Cricetulus griseus: one gene and its partners. The protein of the gene in region 1 interacts with the protein of each later gene in a biochemical or structural test. Links are inferred from orthologs where the notes say so. Each region holds a gene or a part of one and is shown on either strand. Other genes may lie near its edges.

Region 1 (4,082 bases):
TTAGGTCACCCAGCCGGGTCCCAATGTTAGGAAGGCAGTGGTGGCATACACCTTTAGTCCCAGCACTCTGGAGGCAGAGGCAGGTGAATCTCTGTGAGTTTGAGACCAGCCTGGTCTATAAGAGCTAGTTCCAGGACAGCCTCCAAAGCCACAGAGAAACACTGTCTCGAAAAAAGCAAAACAAAACAAACAAACAAACAAACAAAAAGAGGCATTTGAAATAGAAACTGTGGACTTTCACATTAATATTTTACACTTTCGGCATCAAACATATTTTATCCATCACCAAAACAAAACAAAGAGAAGAAACATTAGAAATTAAAAAAAAAAATAGCTTTACATCCGTTTGTAGCTGGTGTCCACCACCTGCATTCAGTTTCCCCCACCCTTATAATCAACAGGAAAAAGAAATTTCAGTAGAACAAAACGCAGCAGGAACACATGCACCTGTAATGGCTGACATTTTCAGGAATGGGTATTGATTTTAACATGAAGTTATTGGTGCTTAGCCTCTAGGCCCTGGGTTCATCTCCAGCCTAGATGGGGTTCAGGCTAGGGAAAGAGGCGTAACAGGGAACTAATTAGGTGGGACCTATGGATTATGTATCTTAAGAGATAGTCATACTTTGGGGTTCTTTGCAGAAGTGTTCACGGCAAGAAGGAACTCTTTAATCTTTAGGGAGGAAAGTTCAGAGCGCCCAACACAGTGAAGTGATAGAAAACCGGGGTTAAGATGTGGTGGCTCCTTCCTTACTCGGTATTTTGCAGCGTTTTCGCCTACGCAGTAGCAAAAGCGCTCTGTAGTGTTTGAAACAGGTATACTTTTCGACTTCAGGCAGCCCTGCACCCCACCCCTCCCAACCCCCGACCCGCGCCTCCCGGCGCAGCTCGGCTTGCACGTGACTTTCATTTCCGTGGCGCGGAAACTTGCCGGGACAAGCCTCCTCCAAAAGGTGGGCCTCCGCGGATCCCATAATGCCCCACGCTTCCCACGCCCGTACGCCGCAGCCCCGCCTCTGTGTACGCGGCAGGGCGGGCCTTGCGCGGGACTCGGATACGATTGGTTCTGAGGGGAAGGTGGGTGGGGCAGCGCGGTGACGTCGCAACTCTCGCGCACGGAAAGAGCGCGCGCCTAGGAAGCGGCAGCATAAAAACGGTTGCGGGCGCCCAAGTTGGTAGTCGCTCCCTGCGGGTCCTCGCTGCCACTTCTGCATCGCGAGCCGGGAGACCTTCGCGGCCGGCCCTCTCTCCTGTCACAGTCTCTAGTATCTAGTCGTCGCGACTCCGCCAGGATGTTCGAGGCTCGCCTGGTTCAGGGCTCCATCCTGAAGAAGGTGTTGGAGGCTCTCAAAGACCTCATCAACGAGGCCTGCTGGGACATCAGCTCGGGCGGCGTGAACCTGCAGAGCATGGACTCGTCGCACGTCTCCTTGGTGCAGCTCACTCTGCGCTCCGAAGGCTTCGACACATACCGCTGCGACCGCAACCTAGCCATGGGCGTGAACCTCACCAGGTGAGCGGGTGGCGGGAGCTGGGCTCTAGCCCTCCCGCCTCGGGTCTTGGCGGGGCTCCGGCTCCGTGCTCTCATTGGCTGACGTGGTCATCCGCGCCTTCTGATTGGTGTCTGGAGCTGGGGGCGGAGCCCGAGGAAGCGCGCGGTTCTGAAAAGCCCGCGCTGGTGGCCGCGCGAACCCGCTGTTTCCGCGCCAAAGCCACAAAACGGGTGCCGGCGGGAAAATGCCTGCGTTGGAGATCAGTTCATTAAACGCCAGCAGCTTTTTTTATTTCAGGGCACAACCTTGTCCTGGCTAATTTTAGCTGCCTACTAAACGTGTTCTGGTGAAAATGTGGTACTGTCCACTTAGAGGGACAATAGGCCTTTTCTACTTGGAGTCTAGAATCTCATTGCGAATCATTTGTGGGAAAATTTACCAGTCTTAGCTTTTAACTTTGTTACAGATGCATGAATTTGCCACCGGTATACGTTTTAAAAGATTTGTGAAAAGGCCACATATGATATAGGGCACACTCTGATACACTGGAAACCAAGGACATCCTGCTCAAAAAATTATTTACTGGCATATTGCCTTTGAGTGGTTTTAAGGATCACATTCCCGATAGTTTACTCCCCCCCCCAGGGGATTTGGTGTGGGCGTAAAAGGGTAACATCTTGTAATTGCCTTTAAAAGAGTAGATGTTGAACACATGGTGTTGATAAGCCCTGCTTCTTGTTTTCTAGCATGTCCAAAATACTAAAATGTGCTGGTAATGAAGACATCATTACACTAAGGGCTGAAGATAATGCCGATACTTTAGCACTCGTATTTGAAGCACCAAGTAAGTTACACCTCTAAAACTCAATTGTTACAGAAAGCAAAGTATGATCTGTTTCTCAAAACTAAGGATATTAACAGAATTGCGGTTGTAAAGTTTTACACCATAGGTATGAACATGTGCTTCAATAACATTTGCTTCCTTTTGTTAGATCAAGAGAAAGTTTCAGACTATGAAATGAAGTTAATGGACTTGGATGTTGAGCAACTTGGAATCCCTGTGAGTATCTTGTTCTCGTTTCTGGTGGTCTTTGAACTCATTCTGTAGACTCAAACTCAGCAGAGATCTGCCTGCCTCTGCCCCCTTAGTGCTGGGAGAATATCCTGTTTTCGCTGGTGAATTTTACCAAGCTGTGATACCAGCTGATGAGTTCCAAAGTGGGTATTTGGAATGAAAGACAATTTCACTAAGCAATGACAGTCTAAAATTGAGTTTTAAAGAAATCAGATACTTGTCCTCACACTTCTGACCTTTAACTTTGGGATTTACAGGAACAGGAGTACAGCTGTGTGGTAAAGATGCCTTCTGGTGAATTTGCGCGCATATGCCGAGACCTTAGCCATATTGGAGATGCTGTTGTAATATCCTGTGCAAAGGATGGGGTGAAGTTTTCTGCAAGTGGAGAGCTTGGAAATGGAAACATTAAGTTGTCACAAACAAGTAATGTTGATAAAGAGGAGGAAGCTGTAAGTAGTAAAAGTTGTCTGCAGTGTCTGAAAGGGGAATGAATATAAGCTTAACTGCTGAGCTGGTTCTCCAGACCTAGCTCTTTTGAGGTGGAGTGTGAGTAGACCAGGCTGTCTTTGAACTTAGATACTCCACACTCTGCATATATGCTTTCACAGGTGGGACTGGGAAGCTAGGTGTTTCCAAGCTTTTGCTTCCTAGAATGACTGACAAATAAGCATTAACAAGTGAACAGAAGAAAATGGTTGGGGTTGTGAGTCTGTTGGGATCATGTAGATCTTGTAGTAAGTAGCTTTGTGTTGGACTTTCACGTGCTACCCCATTTAATGGTGCAAAAGCAGACTAAGTAAAGTTGAGTGTTGATAAGTTTTAAAGTCCTCAAAAATGAGGAAGATGTTGGAAAGGCAAAGGAAAAATGCCTGGAAAGCCTCATTCAAGCAGAAGATACTAGGCTAATTGCTAAATATTCAGAAGTCAAAACTTTTTAATTATACTAAGTTTTTTAAAAAGTTTTGCCAGCTAGTCTGAGCATCAGACTATAAATTGCAGACACAGTCTGAACTAAATATGATTTTTAGTGCTAAATGTAAAATTCGGAGTGCTTAACACAAAGTGTTTAATGTTATTTTGTCTGCAACTTGTATAACTGAGGATTAGAACATATATACACAACCCATAGGGCTGGTTCTTAACCTTAATCTGTCTGCTTAATTATTCCTACTTACCTGTCATCCTCAGATCACAAGGTATTTAATTCATAAGTATTTTGTTTAAAGCATAAGCATTACCACAACAAAGGAAATTAAGTTTTCAGTATTCACATGTTTCTTATTTCCTTAGTTTGAATTGGGACTTGAAAAAAATTCCTGATAAAATGAAAATTGGTCAACATGTCCCTTAGCTTGCATTTAACTTGTTGCTTCTTGTTACTAGAGTTGGTTATGAGCTGCTGGATGTGGGTGCTGGGAACCAAACTTGGATGTTGTGGAAGAGCATCGAGTATTAACTGTTGGGTCATCTCGCCAGCCGTGGTTACTTTTGGGGGTGGGAGTTGAGTGTTG
Region 2 (3,986 bases), on another chromosome or scaffold:
TAGGAGCCGGTGAAGAGAGACCAAAACAAAAACAAAAACAAAAATCCAACCAATCAAACACACAAAAACCAAACAATACAAAAATAAAATAAAAAAAACCCAAAACCCCATATGTCTGTTTTCTGAGGGGCAGTTTAAATACCCTGTGGGAGTGGTCTTGAGCATCTCTGGGGGAGGGGTCATCACTTGGCTGCCTTACTGAGAGGCAGCAGGGTTTGGAGAGAGAGGTGGGGGAAGGGGTTTGAAGTGGAGCTTCCGCCAGAACATATTGGAAAACATCCATACACACAAATATCAACATACAGGCAAACATGCACCCCACGAAAAGACAGGGATACACTGAGCTCCTAATATGCCAGTTGCTTTGTAGACATTAAACTATGTTGTTTTACCTCCATTTATGTAATCGAGAGTGTGTTTGTCTGTTTTGTTTGTTTTTACAGTGCAGGCTCAGAGCAGTTACACAACATACTTAAAGTTATGTCAGCAAAATCAGAGTCTGGAATGGCGACTTTATGACCCAAAGCTAATGTGTCAAAACCCACTCATTATTATTAGAGTCTCTTTAAATAAAACTCAACAAACATTCTTGTTAATCATGTCTTTACCTGGTTACCTCGGTCTTAATATCATTCATACCCTTTCCCAGTCCCATCAACACAAATCACTCAGATTTAGGGGTTATAGCGGTTTTGCTAACAAATCATCAGACAGCAAATATACTTAAAAAATTGAAATTTTAGGTATGAGCAGAACACGGAAGCCTTCAGAGAAAACTAAATCGATAAAAGAGAAGAATGGAGCTAAAGAGATTTCTCAGAGGTGAGAGTACTTGCTGCTCTTCCACAGAACCCAAGATCAGTTCCCAGAAACAAGGGGCTCACAACCACCGATTAACTCCAGTTTTAGGGGTCCAATGCTCTTTGCCGGCTTTTGAGGGCACTAGCACTCACATAGCATGTATTCTCACATATACGTTAATAATTTAAAAAAAAAATAAAGAAGAGAGAAGAAAAAAGGGAAAGGGCATTCGGGTTCTTCTTCCTCTACTTTAAGGACCTCAACCAGGTTGCAAAGGTCCTTCCGCTTCTCCTGTCCTCTGCCACTCAGGCGGTTCCGCTCGAGTGCGCAGGCGTGAGGCTGGAGGCTGGGCCGTGGTTTCCTAGGAGACCGTGCAGCAGCTGCTCCGCGGTTGGCCACCGGTGAAGATGGGGGTGGAGTTGGAGGAAGAAGGCGGCCCCGTGGAGGAAGAAGACGCTGCTCGCGCCATGGAGCCCTTGGACGCGGGGGCGGCTGGCAGCTCGCTGGGTGTGCGCCGTCCGGGTGATGGCGGGAAAGGAAGGGAAGGGTGGGAAGGGCGGGCGCCCGGGGCGGTCGTTGGGGCGCGGCCTCCTGGTCCCCCTCGGGTCTGGAGAGTGCGGGCGCTCTGCGCCGGCTTCTGCACGCTTGGGCGACCCTGCATTCCTGCACACATGAGTGGGGTGCACCTGTCTCCTGGGCGGGCAGTCTTTACTGACCTCCCAAGGGGAACTCCTGATGCTTCCGGTGGCTCCAATTCGGAGAATAGGAGGACCTTGTCCATTTAGGTGTAGAGACCTGGCCTCAGCCCAGGTAGGAAAGGATGGCCCCTAATCTAGCAAGCAGGCTGGAGTCCCTAGGTGACCCACATCTACCCCAGCCTGTGGTCCGGCCTTGTGGAGCCAGAAACTCACTAACATCCCCACCCTCCTACCCTCAATGAACAGAAAAGTTATGGCATAAATGCTATTTCTCTAATATCAATATCTCTAATATCTCCTTGGTACATATATCAAAACTTCAAAATTAAAGTAGGTACACAACTAATTCCCATTTACGGAAAGACACACTATATTCATAATTTGTCATTTTCCTACCAGTGTGCTTTTCCTAGCCCAGGGTTGCATTTAGGCTGCTTTGTTGGTAACGAAAGAAGGGAATTGTTCCTATTGCCTCCTTTACCACCCATAATATATACAATTTACTCATTGGCCCTAGGATATCAGGTACAGCCCTGACCCTAGTTTTTAAAATTAGATAACCAGGTTTTCAACTCAGTGGTTAATTATTTGTTGTCTGTTGCGCCCCAGGCACTGTTCTAGGCACTGGGGACTTCAGAACAGGAAATTGTACTCTCATGGGAGCCAAATTTAGTGTCCTGGAACCCACAGGTTGTGCTGTGCCAGTTTGATTTATTTTTTATAAATGTAGGGACAGGCTGCTTGGAGTAATGCTCAAGTTGGTTGAAAATAACATTGCTACAATTTATTATTTAAAAATTTCTAAAAGACAGGATAGTACCAGCTTTTGTGCCATTCATTATTGATCAAGAGTTTCCCCTTAAATTAACTACTCTGAGGTGTGTGTGTGGGGGTGTGTAGTACCTGAAGACATGCTAATCAAAAAGGACTGAAGGCCTTTTTGCTGATGGAGTTTCATGTCTTTATGATTTGTAGATACTGGGGGCATCTAAACGGTTGGCATCTGGCATGTCATAAAATCCAAGGGGGAAAAACTCTTTAAGCCACTGTCCATCCTTTTTCAGATAAAATGTTTTAAGGATCTGTTAGTTGCTCCCTGATGATAAGCAGCCTGAATACATTTGTTTTCCTTTGTGTATTATGCAGCAGTTTTCGATCAAGGGGTGCCAACACAAATCTCTTCATCCAGAGTCATAGTACATGTGGACCTGGATTGCTTTTATGCCCAAGTAGAAATGATCTCCAATCCAGAATTAAAGGACAAACCTTTAGGTAATCCACATTGATGGGATCTTTGTTGGGTGATGATAAAATTAGCCTCAAGTATGATTTATTTTTCTGATTTATTAACCATTCGAAGACAGTTTTTGTAGACTGTTTTAGGAACTTGGTTGGCAGTCATATTTGCTTTGCTACCAAGAGTAAATGTACCATGTCTTGTCCCTTTAATAAATGTGACCACATGAGCATAGGTAGTGTGTGCACAGGAACCAGAATGAGTTCTTAGTAGATGAAGCAGCTTCCTTTGGTAGGCACATAACAAGCTCTTGGATGTAGCTCACTTCTGTAGGCATGCACTTTAAGGAAAACAGCTTTTCATTCATGCATATAGGAAGCACGTCTTTTAGTTTAAACACAAAGGACAGTGTTTGTTTCCTTGTTGCTTTCATCTTGTGCCTGCCTCAGTTTTATAAATCACAGTCCATCCCGTTGATTTCCTCAAGAACAAAGGAATGACTAGGTTTTAGTTCTCTAAGATGAAGCTAAATCTTTAAACTTTCCCAAGAGGTCAAAGATTTAAATTAGGGGGTCAGGTTTTTTATTTTTTTTCCCTTCTGAAAACATTTCTAGTTAGCACAGCTGCCCAGTTTTTACTTTGTGTGATTAAGAAGTAGTTATTAAGTAGTTACTGTGAACTGAGGAGTGTGAGTGCTTAGCCAGCTTTTATTGATAAATGTGCAAGCAGCTCAGGCCAAGATCTGCTGTGGGGAGCCCTTTTAGCTAAGGAGTTACCAGTCAGGCCTTTTTCAACTTTCATTATCAAATATATGAAAAATGTATCAGCAAACTGATTTTGATTTGTCTTAGAATGTCAGATTTAAAAATATGCAGCAAGAATGGGTATAGGTTTTTCTTTTCCATATATTCATCTACGAATTGCAGATGAATATGACTTACATTGTGATGAAGCAATCAACTTGAGTAAAAAGAGAAAAGGGAATAATTTTAGCAATCTTAAATGCCTGGCAATTTTTAAAGAATGTATTCTATAGGTGGTCATAATATTGTCAGTTTCAAAAGGAAGCCCAAAATAATTCCTCTTGGTAAAACTACAAATTATTATAAGCTGTATATAGTTCATTACTTAGGGTACTTAATGGGACAAGATCTTTCATGACTGTTATAGTTTGGCTGCTAGAATATTGTTCATATTCACTGGCAGTTTGCTCAGAGGATAAATGAGTTTTTCTAGCAGCAACCAATATT
Region 3 (4,211 bases), on another chromosome or scaffold:
GAGTTTCTCTATGAAGCTTTGGCTGTCCTAGAAGTCACTTTGTAGACTGGAACTGCCTCAAACTCATAGATCTGCCTGCCTCTGCCTCCTCAGTGCTCAGATCAAAGTTATGCCTCACTATTGCCCAGTGGACTTCACTATTCTTTCCTTTTCTTTGTTTTGTTTTGAGAAAAAGCGTCTCTTTGTGAGCTGTCCTGGAATTCACACTGTAGACCAGGCAGGCCTCAAACTCAGAGATTTGCCTGCCAATGCCTCGTGCTGGGACTAAAGGCATGTGCCACCTCTGCCCGGCTACTTCACTATTCTTATATTTTTGGTTGTGAGCCTAGCCTTTAAAGGCCTCCTCATCTCTCCAGCCCTACTTCACTATTCTTTAAGCGACTTATTGAAGCTTTAGGAATTAAGGGGCTAGTTTTCGTAGCATGGTAGTTTTAGGTCAAAGAGCTGTTGGGGCTGGGGGTTGCTCACATTCTTTCATAGTAGTTCTGAGTTTGATCCCTTGCACTGCATAAACCAGGCATGTTGGAATATATATGAAATCTTTTTTTTAAGGGACTTTATTTATTATGTATAATTCTGCTTCCATGTACTTTCTGCTTCCATGTACATCTGTACACCAGAAGAGGGCACCAGATCTTATAATGGATGGTTGTGAGCCACCATGTGGTTGCTGGGAATTGAACTCAGAACCTCTGGAAGAGCAGTCGGTGCTCTTAACCACTGAGCCATTTCTCCAGCCTGGAATATATATGAAATCTCAGTTCTTGGGAGGCCGCAGAAAAATCATTAGTTCAAGCTCATATTCAACTACATAGGGAGTTTGAGACCTGGATGGGACACACGAGAGCCTCAAAACAACAAAACTTAATGTAAGCATTCCTTTAATGTGAACAGTCTCTTTAATACAAACATGTACTCTCGTGGCGGAAAGGCTCTCGCAAGCTTTTCTTTGACCGCCGCTGGTGAACTCCACTGCCAATAAATAAACGTGTAAAAAGTAATAAATATTTGTCCTTCATCCTGGGAGTTTTTAAACTATGGGTCTCTTAGTGTGACACAAAATCAATAGGTCAAACATTAAAAGGAAAATAAAACAGATCAGAGTAAAGGTTGATGGGAACAGTTGATGTGTGCAGTGCGTAGAATACATTTCATTTTATTGAGGGTGGGAGTAAGACTTGGAAATTCCTACAGAGCACTGCCCTTGCTGCACGTGTACACGGAAGGAAGGCACCTGGGAACCTGCCTTAGAGGAAGCCAGCCAGATTGGGCGTCCGGGTCGCGATCGCAAGCGCACACTGTACCCTAGAGAGGTAGCAATCCTCCTGTCGCCGGGGCGGTCCTGCACCCAGCGCGCAACTCCCGCCTCGGGGCGGGGCCGCGGGAAGCGCGCGCCTCCTGACGTCATCGTCGCGCGCCGCCGCCTGCGCTTCTGCCACTTCGCGGGAGAAGTTGTTGGCGCCAATGGATCCCGAGCCCTGATAACGGATTCCCCCAGCCGCGGGCCTGCCCACCTGTTCCTCTTCGGTCTTGGGGCTGCGATGGTGAGCCGCCCGGGAGGCCGAGCAGCTCCAGAGGCTTTGCAGGCCGGGTGTGGACGGGGGCTTCGCCGCGTTGCGGGGTGGGGAGGACGGCGCAGGGTGCTCCGAGGGGCCCGCTTAGGGTGCGGGGCGCACCGCGGACGCAGCGTGCAAGGGATGTGGCTGCTACGCGGCACTTTCACACTCCACCCCGACTCTTGGGGGAAGGGAGGCAGGAAGAGGAACGCCGATTTGGACCCGGTGTTAAAAGTTACTTTCGTGTTCAGCACTGTCCCAAATCTCAGTTGGAATGTGTCCTAAGGCCGCGACTTCAAGCTTTGCGAGAAGAATGTAACACTTTGCTTTCTTAGGGAGAAGTTGCTCGGGCCTCCAGCTTTAATCAGCTTTCTCCTGAAGCGCGTCTCAGCTGTTTTGAGAGCTGATGACACAGGAAGTTGCCTTAACTTCGTTTAGACTAATTTATAGGAACTGAACAGATAATCTGGTTTACCAGGGATTAAAAAAAAAAAAAAACAAAAAAAAACACAGCCGGTACAGAGGGATGTTATGTATTTGACAGCTGTCATTTCTTATCACCTGTTAAAAAAAGTTTTTTAAAAAAAGCCCCCTCAGTCCCAACTTCAGTACATAATTCTGTATAATGAACATTCAAACAGCTCGAAAGTGAAATAGCAGCAGGCATAGGAGACAGATGCATATTTGAAATAACTTTTAAAGGACAACCGAAGATGTTCAGTTAATCTAGAAGACATTTAACAATCATATATACGTATATTTTTCTGTTATTTTTCAGCATTCTTCAGCAGCTTGTTATTGAGCATTCTTCAGAATGCCAGCATTCAAGGGGGAAAAGTGTTACACCAAATTGGGAAAAATTTCAGCTCTCTGTTGTTTATGGGAAAAAGGATAGTAAGCCACAAAGCCTTTTTTTCAGGTTAATATGTGAGTTGTTTGCTTTAAATACCTTCTAAAAATTCATTTAAAGTGCTTTTTTGAAAAAAAAAAGACTATTTTAGTGTATATTTATATATATGTGTGTCTGTGTTTGTGTATGCACACGTGTTCCATGACATCCAGAAGAGGGTGTGGGGTCCCCTGGAGCTGGAGTTACAGCTGGTTTTGAGCTGCTTGTGGGTGTTAGTTATGGAATTCAGGTCCTCTGCAAGAACAGTATACCCTCTTGGTCACAGAGCCATCTCTCCAAGCTCCATGTTCATTAATTTTTCTATTTAGTTTGTAATGTGTATGTTTTGCCTAAATAGATTTCTGTGAACATGCATGCCTAGTGCTGTCCCAGGCCTGAAGAGGGTGTCTAATTCTCTGGAGCTGGAGTTATAGGTGGTTGTGGGTGTTAGGAATTAAACTTAGGTCTCCTGAAAGAGCAGCCAGTACTCTAACTACTGAGCCATCTCTCCAGTCACGGCCCTCCAGTTCATTTGAAAATTACTTACTTTATGTGTATGAGTGCTATGTGTGCGTGTCTGTACATCACATGCAGCCCTGGTCCCAAGATCAGAAGAACCCAGTAGTCGTGGTGGTACACGCCTTTAATCCCAGCACTTGGGAGGCAGAGGTTGGCAGATCTCTGTGAGTTCGAGACCAGCCTGGTCTACAAGAGCAGGAGAGTCTCCAAAGCCATAGAGAAACCCTGTCTCAAACCCCACCCCCCTCCCAAAAAAGAAAAAAAAAAGGATCAGAAGAGATAATTGGATCTGTTGGAACTGGAGTCATAGATAACTGTGAACCATCATGTGGGTGCTAGAAACTGAACCCAGGTCCTCTGCAAGAGTTGCAAGTTAATCACTGAATCATGTCTCAAGCCTCTCAAGTTTATTGTTTTTGTTTTTTGAGACAGATTTTCTCTATATAGTTCTGGATGTTCCAGAGCTTATTATGTAGACCAGGCTGGCCTTGAACTCACAGAAATGCTCCTGACTCTGCTTCCCGAGTCCTGGGATTAATGTCATGCTCAGCTCCAAGTTTATTGTTTTGAAGGAAGATTTTGGGTAATGGTTTATATCAGGCCTTGATCTTACAGTGTATATAGAACAAGTTGGTCTGATCTATTTACATGATAAGTATATAGATCCTGCCTCAGCTTCTAGGTACTCTACAATTCAATTTTATAGACAGTGAAGACACTTTTTTTTTTTTTCTCGAGACAGGGTTTCCCAGTGGCTTTGGAGGCTGTCCTGGAACTAGCTCTTGTAGACCAGGCTGGACTTGAACTCACAGAGATCCGCCTGCCTCTGCCTCCTGAGTGCTGGGATTAAAGGTGAGTGCCATCAACGCCCTGCAGAAGATACCTTTTAAACAGATTGTCATACTAGCTGAGCTTGAACTAGAACCTAGACATTTCTGACCACTACATTATTCTGCCTCCTAAAATGATTATCATTGTTGCATTTTGGAATTTAGGTGTCTTGGTATTGTGGAAAGTTGATGAGATTTTGGGGTTTTTGTCTTGATTTAATAGATAACAGTTAGTATGTTAATATACTTAGTAGTTACCAGGTCCTATACAATAGATTAACTTGTGTGACTCTTGCCTCAGCCTTTCAAGTGCTGGAATTACTGGTGTGAAACACTGGACCCAGCAAGTAGATTAATTTCTTGGTTTCTATTTTCCTTCCTTCCTTCCTTCCTTCCTTCCTTCCTTCCTTCCTTCCT
Region 4 (4,029 bases), on another chromosome or scaffold:
TACCTCAGCCTTGGCTGTGATATCTCCTCCAATACTGCACTGTCAGGACTCAAAGAACTTCTGATAAGGGACTGTCACACATGTGTGAGAAGCTCCTCCTGAAGGTCCAGAAAAGTGTAATGCAGAACCAAAGGAGCATGCCTCAAATGCTGATCTGGAGTTGTTGGAGGCCTCAAGGAAAAGGACTGCTGGCTCTGTAGCTACTCTACCTCTAGCGCCTAGACAAGTCCATTCATTTCTGTAGGATTCTTATTCAAGGCTGAAAAATCTTCACTTTTACTGAATGAATCTAAGTATAACTTTGAATGGCTGCTGGGCTTGGTGGCACAAACCTATAAGCTCAGTACTTAGGAGGCTGAGTTAGAATTTGCAAGTTTGAGGACAGTCTGGTTTACTGTTTTGCCCTTGCTCCCAAAACATGTGTAGCTTAGTGTACCGTTATGTTGGCTCCTGTCAGTTGGTTGATTCGATGCATATGTTTACAGAACTCTGGGCCATGTCCTTCCCGGTCTTTATCATTATTAGTGACAAATAAGTAGGCATGTATCATTTCATGCAAAAGAGTCTGAAACAGAAAACCAGAAAATTAATTTTCTAGGGCATGTCTGAAGATGAAAACGCTTTCTTAACTTGGGGTCTGTAGGCCCAAGTACACAAAACGTTGCATATACTATTTCAACCTCTGCAGATCCCAGTAAGACAAACTCCCTTCGAGGAATTACAATTGCTCAAAAAAGCCCTATTTATCTACCAACTCAATATGAATCCAACCACATAAAAACTTTAAAGTTCTGGTAGAGAAACCCACCGCAAGCAAAGTCAAAAGATAATTCTGACAACTCTGCAACACGTATCACAAGCTCTGAAATTTGAACATACGGGGCTCGTGATGCCAACACCAAAAGAGCGAATAGCCCAGGTCTAAATGGGCACAAAGCTAAGTATATGCTGGGCATGACACACACCTGTGATCCCAGCACTCAAGGTGGAGGCAGAAGGATCAGGAGTTTGAGACCAGTTTGGCAGCACCAGACTCTACCCCCCTAAAAACAGCTGGGTTCATGCATGCCAGCTCACTGAGGAAGCTGAAGCAAGAGAATCATATAAGACCAGGGCCAACCTGGCAAACAGACTGTCTCTTAAAACTCAATAAAATGTCCTGGCCAGGAATGGTAGTGCACAGCTGTAAAAACCCAACCCTCAGAGCTGAGGCAAGAGGATCTTGAGGTTGAAGCCAGCCTGGACTACTATCAAGATCCTGTCTTTAATTTTTTAAAAAGGCCTGGGCAGTGGTGGAACACACCTTCAATCCCAGCACTTAGGAGGCAAGACGGGTGGATCTTTGTGAGCTCAAGAGGCCAGTCTGGTCTACAGACAGAGTTCTAGGAGACCCAGGGCTGCACAGAGAAGCCCTGTCTCAAAAAACAAAAAAAAAAAAAAAAAAAAAAAAAATTCCTGCAAATCACTGAGCTGAGAACTAGGGTTATGGAAAGAATACCTCTACAAGGTCCTTTCTTGGTCTCAGTTTTAGAAGAGGTTCACTGAGACGGATGGAGCACATTCCTCCTCTTCCTTCATAGGTGCAAATCCCAGCACACCTGGAAAGCAGTCACAACAGTGGATTAGATTCACCAAGAACAGTGGAGACGGATCAAAAAGTAAAATCCTAGCCTGTCGTGGGGGAGCACTATGGAGGCAGAGGCAGTCAGATCTCTGAATTCCGGGCCAGCCAGGGATACTCAGTGAAGCCCTGTCTCAAAAACAAAACAAAAAACATGAGCAAATCCTTACCGGTTCTAGTGCAGTTCAGAGGAAAGAGTCCCTGATGGGATACGGCTTTCCTGAGTGGGACACTTGGAATGCAGGCAGTAACGCTTGCTCACCCTCACCCACTCTGCTCCACACAGGCATTCATCAGCAGGGAATGGTTTAGCGCCCACGTCTGCCCGGATACTTCTCCAAAAGGGTCATAGGGTTGGTGTGAAGTTAGACGGACGCTACATACTACATCTCGCCCTGCTTTACTGCAGGCTGCTTTCTTTCTATGTGACGGTGTAAGTGAAGGGCAGATTACTATTTCGAATGGGATTTCTCAAATTCAATGGGTAGAAAAGGAATCCTGTTGGTACATCACTGAGGGCCGTTAGGCCCGGCCCACTCTGGAATATAGGCACGTCTCCAGTGACCTTTCCCTCCACCGCGAGGCGGGGACACCAACGACAACTCAGCGGCCTCGCCCTTCCCTACGTTCCGAGCCGTTCGTGGGCGCACTCACAGTGTCATGCGCACACTCCACTTCACTTCCACCGCCTCTAGCTGACCCCAAAAGAAGCGGTCGTTAAACTGCAAGAAGAGCGCCTGCAGGTCCGGGGTGGGGTCCACCAGCTCCCAGGACGCATCCACCAACGACACGGACTCCCGCGCCGCCGCGCGCCGTGCCACCTGCACGTCCCACTCCTCCTGCAGTCGCAGCGCAACCACCAGATCCTCGTCCATCGCGCCACTCCCGCCCAAGCTACTCCGAAGACGCCGGCGGTGCTCGCGCAGCGCACTGGTCTCGCGAGAGCTCCGGGCCCGGCTGTCAAGTGCGCGAGGGCTCGCCTCGAATGCCTAACCGAAAGTGGCTCTGAGCCGCCCCGCGGGCACAGGCTTAGGAACGCGGGGCTCGGGCTAGGGAAGGCTCCAGGAAGCCGGTTGTCTCCTGAACGCCCCTGAAGTTCAGCACCTCACGTCAAGTCTGGTCCGCGCCCGAGCCTCTTGACTTCCGTACTGGCTGGTCCGCGCACGCGCCGTAAGTCGCTGCCGCTTTTCGCGCAGGCGCGCCGTCGGCACTCCGCCCCTGGCGCAGGCGCAGTAGGAGAGTCTCGACTCTAGCACAGGCGCAATGCAGCGCTCAGCCCCGGCGCAGGCGTTTGGGTGTTGCTCCCGCCCCGCTTCCTCAGCGGTCTTCTCCGCCGGGCTCGGGTGGGGCCGGACGGCGGCGAGTGACAGCGACCGCGAACTGCGGGAGGAGGACGGATGTCAGCCATGTCCGACAGCGGGGCGAGCCGCCTGCGAAGGCAGCTGGAGTCTGGGGGCTTCGAGGCGCGGCTGTACGTGAAGCAGCTGTCGCAACAGTCGGACGGCGACCGCGACCTGCAGGAACACCGACAGCGGGTGCAGGCGCTGGCGGAGGAGACGGCACAGAACCTGAAGCGCAACGTCTATCAAAACTACCGGCAGTTCATCGAGACGGCGCGCGAGATCTCGTACCTGGAGAGCGAAATGTATCAGCTGAGCCACCTGCTGACAGAGCAGAAGAGCAGTCTAGAGAGCATTCCGCTGGCACTGCTGCCCGCCGCCGCCGCGGGAGCCTCCACGGGTGAGGACACGGCGGGCGCGGGGCCGCGGGAGCGCGGGGCGGCCCAGGCAGGCTTCTTGCCCGGGTCGACGGGCGTCCCCCGCGAGGGCCCTGGTATGGGCGAGGAGGGCAAGCAACGCACGCTCACCACGCTGCTGGAGAAGGTAGAGGGCTGCAGGGACCTGCTGGACACGCCAGGCCAGTACCTGGTGTACAACGGGGACCTGGTGGAGTACGAGGCGGACCACATGGCCCAGCTGCAGCGCGTGCACGGCTTCCTCATGAACGATTGTCTGCTGGTGGCTACCTGGCTGCCACAGCGGCGAGGCATGTACCGCTATAACGCTCTTTACCCGCTGGACCGCCTGGCGGTGGTCAACGTCAAGGACAACCCACCGATGAAAGACATGTTCAAGCTTCTCATGTTCCCCGAGAGCCGCATCTTTCAGGCAGAAAATGCCAAGATTAAACGCGAGTGGCTGGAAGTGCTGGAGGAAACCAAGAGGGCGCTCAGTGACAAGAGGAGGAGGGAGCAGGAGGAGGCAGCGGCCCCTCGTGCGCCACCACCAGTGACTTCCAAGGGCAGCAACCCCTTTGAGGATGAGGATGAGGAAGAGCTGGCCACCCCCGAGGTGGAGGAGGAAAAGGTAGACCTCTCCATGGAGTGGATCCAGGAGTTGCCCGAAGAC

Evidence for each region. The genes of interacting proteins can lie anywhere in the genome.
Region 2: the proteins of Pcna (region 1) and Poli form a complex in vitro, tested with the Homo sapiens proteins (4 studies listed by BioGRID, with this or other methods). The link is inferred for Cricetulus griseus from reciprocal best matches to the Homo sapiens genes PCNA and POLI.
Region 3: the proteins of Pcna (region 1) and Rfc1 form a complex in vitro, tested with the Homo sapiens proteins (5 studies listed by BioGRID, with this or other methods). The link is inferred for Cricetulus griseus from reciprocal best matches to the Homo sapiens genes PCNA and RFC1.
Region 4: the proteins of Pcna (region 1) and Sprtn form a complex in vitro, tested with the Homo sapiens proteins (4 studies listed by BioGRID). The link is inferred for Cricetulus griseus from reciprocal best matches to the Homo sapiens genes PCNA and SPRTN.

What each region holds. Positions count from the first base shown.
Region 1 is NC_048599.1:46,331,514-46,335,595, forward strand, and holds the start of Pcna (proliferating cell nuclear antigen), read left to right. Parts: upstream 1-1,282; 5' UTR 1,283-1,292; coding exon 1,293-1,513; intron 1,514-2,239; coding exon 2,240-2,337; intron 2,338-2,485; coding exon 2,486-2,553; intron 2,554-2,825; coding exon 2,826-3,020; intron 3,021-4,082. UniProt on the Homo sapiens protein: Auxiliary protein of DNA polymerase delta and epsilon, is involved in the control of eukaryotic DNA replication by increasing the polymerase's processibility during elongation of the leading strand.
Region 2 is NC_048595.1:169,048,669-169,052,654, forward strand, and holds the start of Poli (DNA polymerase iota), read left to right. Parts: upstream 1-1,184; 5' UTR 1,185-1,208; coding exon 1,209-1,308; coding exon of another isoform or gene 1,309-1,310; intron 1,311-1,395; exon of another isoform or gene 1,396-2,645; coding exon 2,646-2,771; intron 2,772-3,986. UniProt on the Homo sapiens protein: Error-prone DNA polymerase specifically involved in DNA repair. Plays an important role in translesion synthesis, where the normal high-fidelity DNA polymerases cannot proceed and DNA synthesis stalls. Favors Hoogsteen base-pairing in the active site.
Region 3 is NW_023276807.1:132,371,176-132,375,386, reverse strand, and holds the start of Rfc1 (replication factor C subunit 1), read left to right. Parts: upstream 1-1,409; 5' UTR 1,410-1,541; coding exon of another isoform or gene 1,542-1,544; intron 1,545-4,211. UniProt on the Homo sapiens protein: Subunit of the replication factor C (RFC) complex which acts during elongation of primed DNA templates by DNA polymerases delta and epsilon, and is necessary for ATP-dependent loading of proliferating cell nuclear antigen (PCNA) onto primed DNA.
Region 4 is NC_048596.1:201,642,924-201,646,952, reverse strand, and holds the start of Sprtn (sprT-like domain-containing protein Spartan), read right to left. Parts: upstream 2,803-4,029; 5' UTR 2,497-2,802; coding exon 2,276-2,496; intron 2,268-2,275; exon of another isoform or gene 1,792-2,267; intron 1,599-1,791; coding exon 1,499-1,598; intron 566-1,498; coding exon 437-565; intron 1-436. Other genes in the region: Exoc8 (exocyst complex component 8), read left to right, coding at 3,019-4,029. UniProt on the Homo sapiens protein: DNA-dependent metalloendopeptidase that mediates the proteolytic cleavage of covalent DNA-protein cross-links (DPCs) during DNA synthesis, thereby playing a key role in maintaining genomic integrity.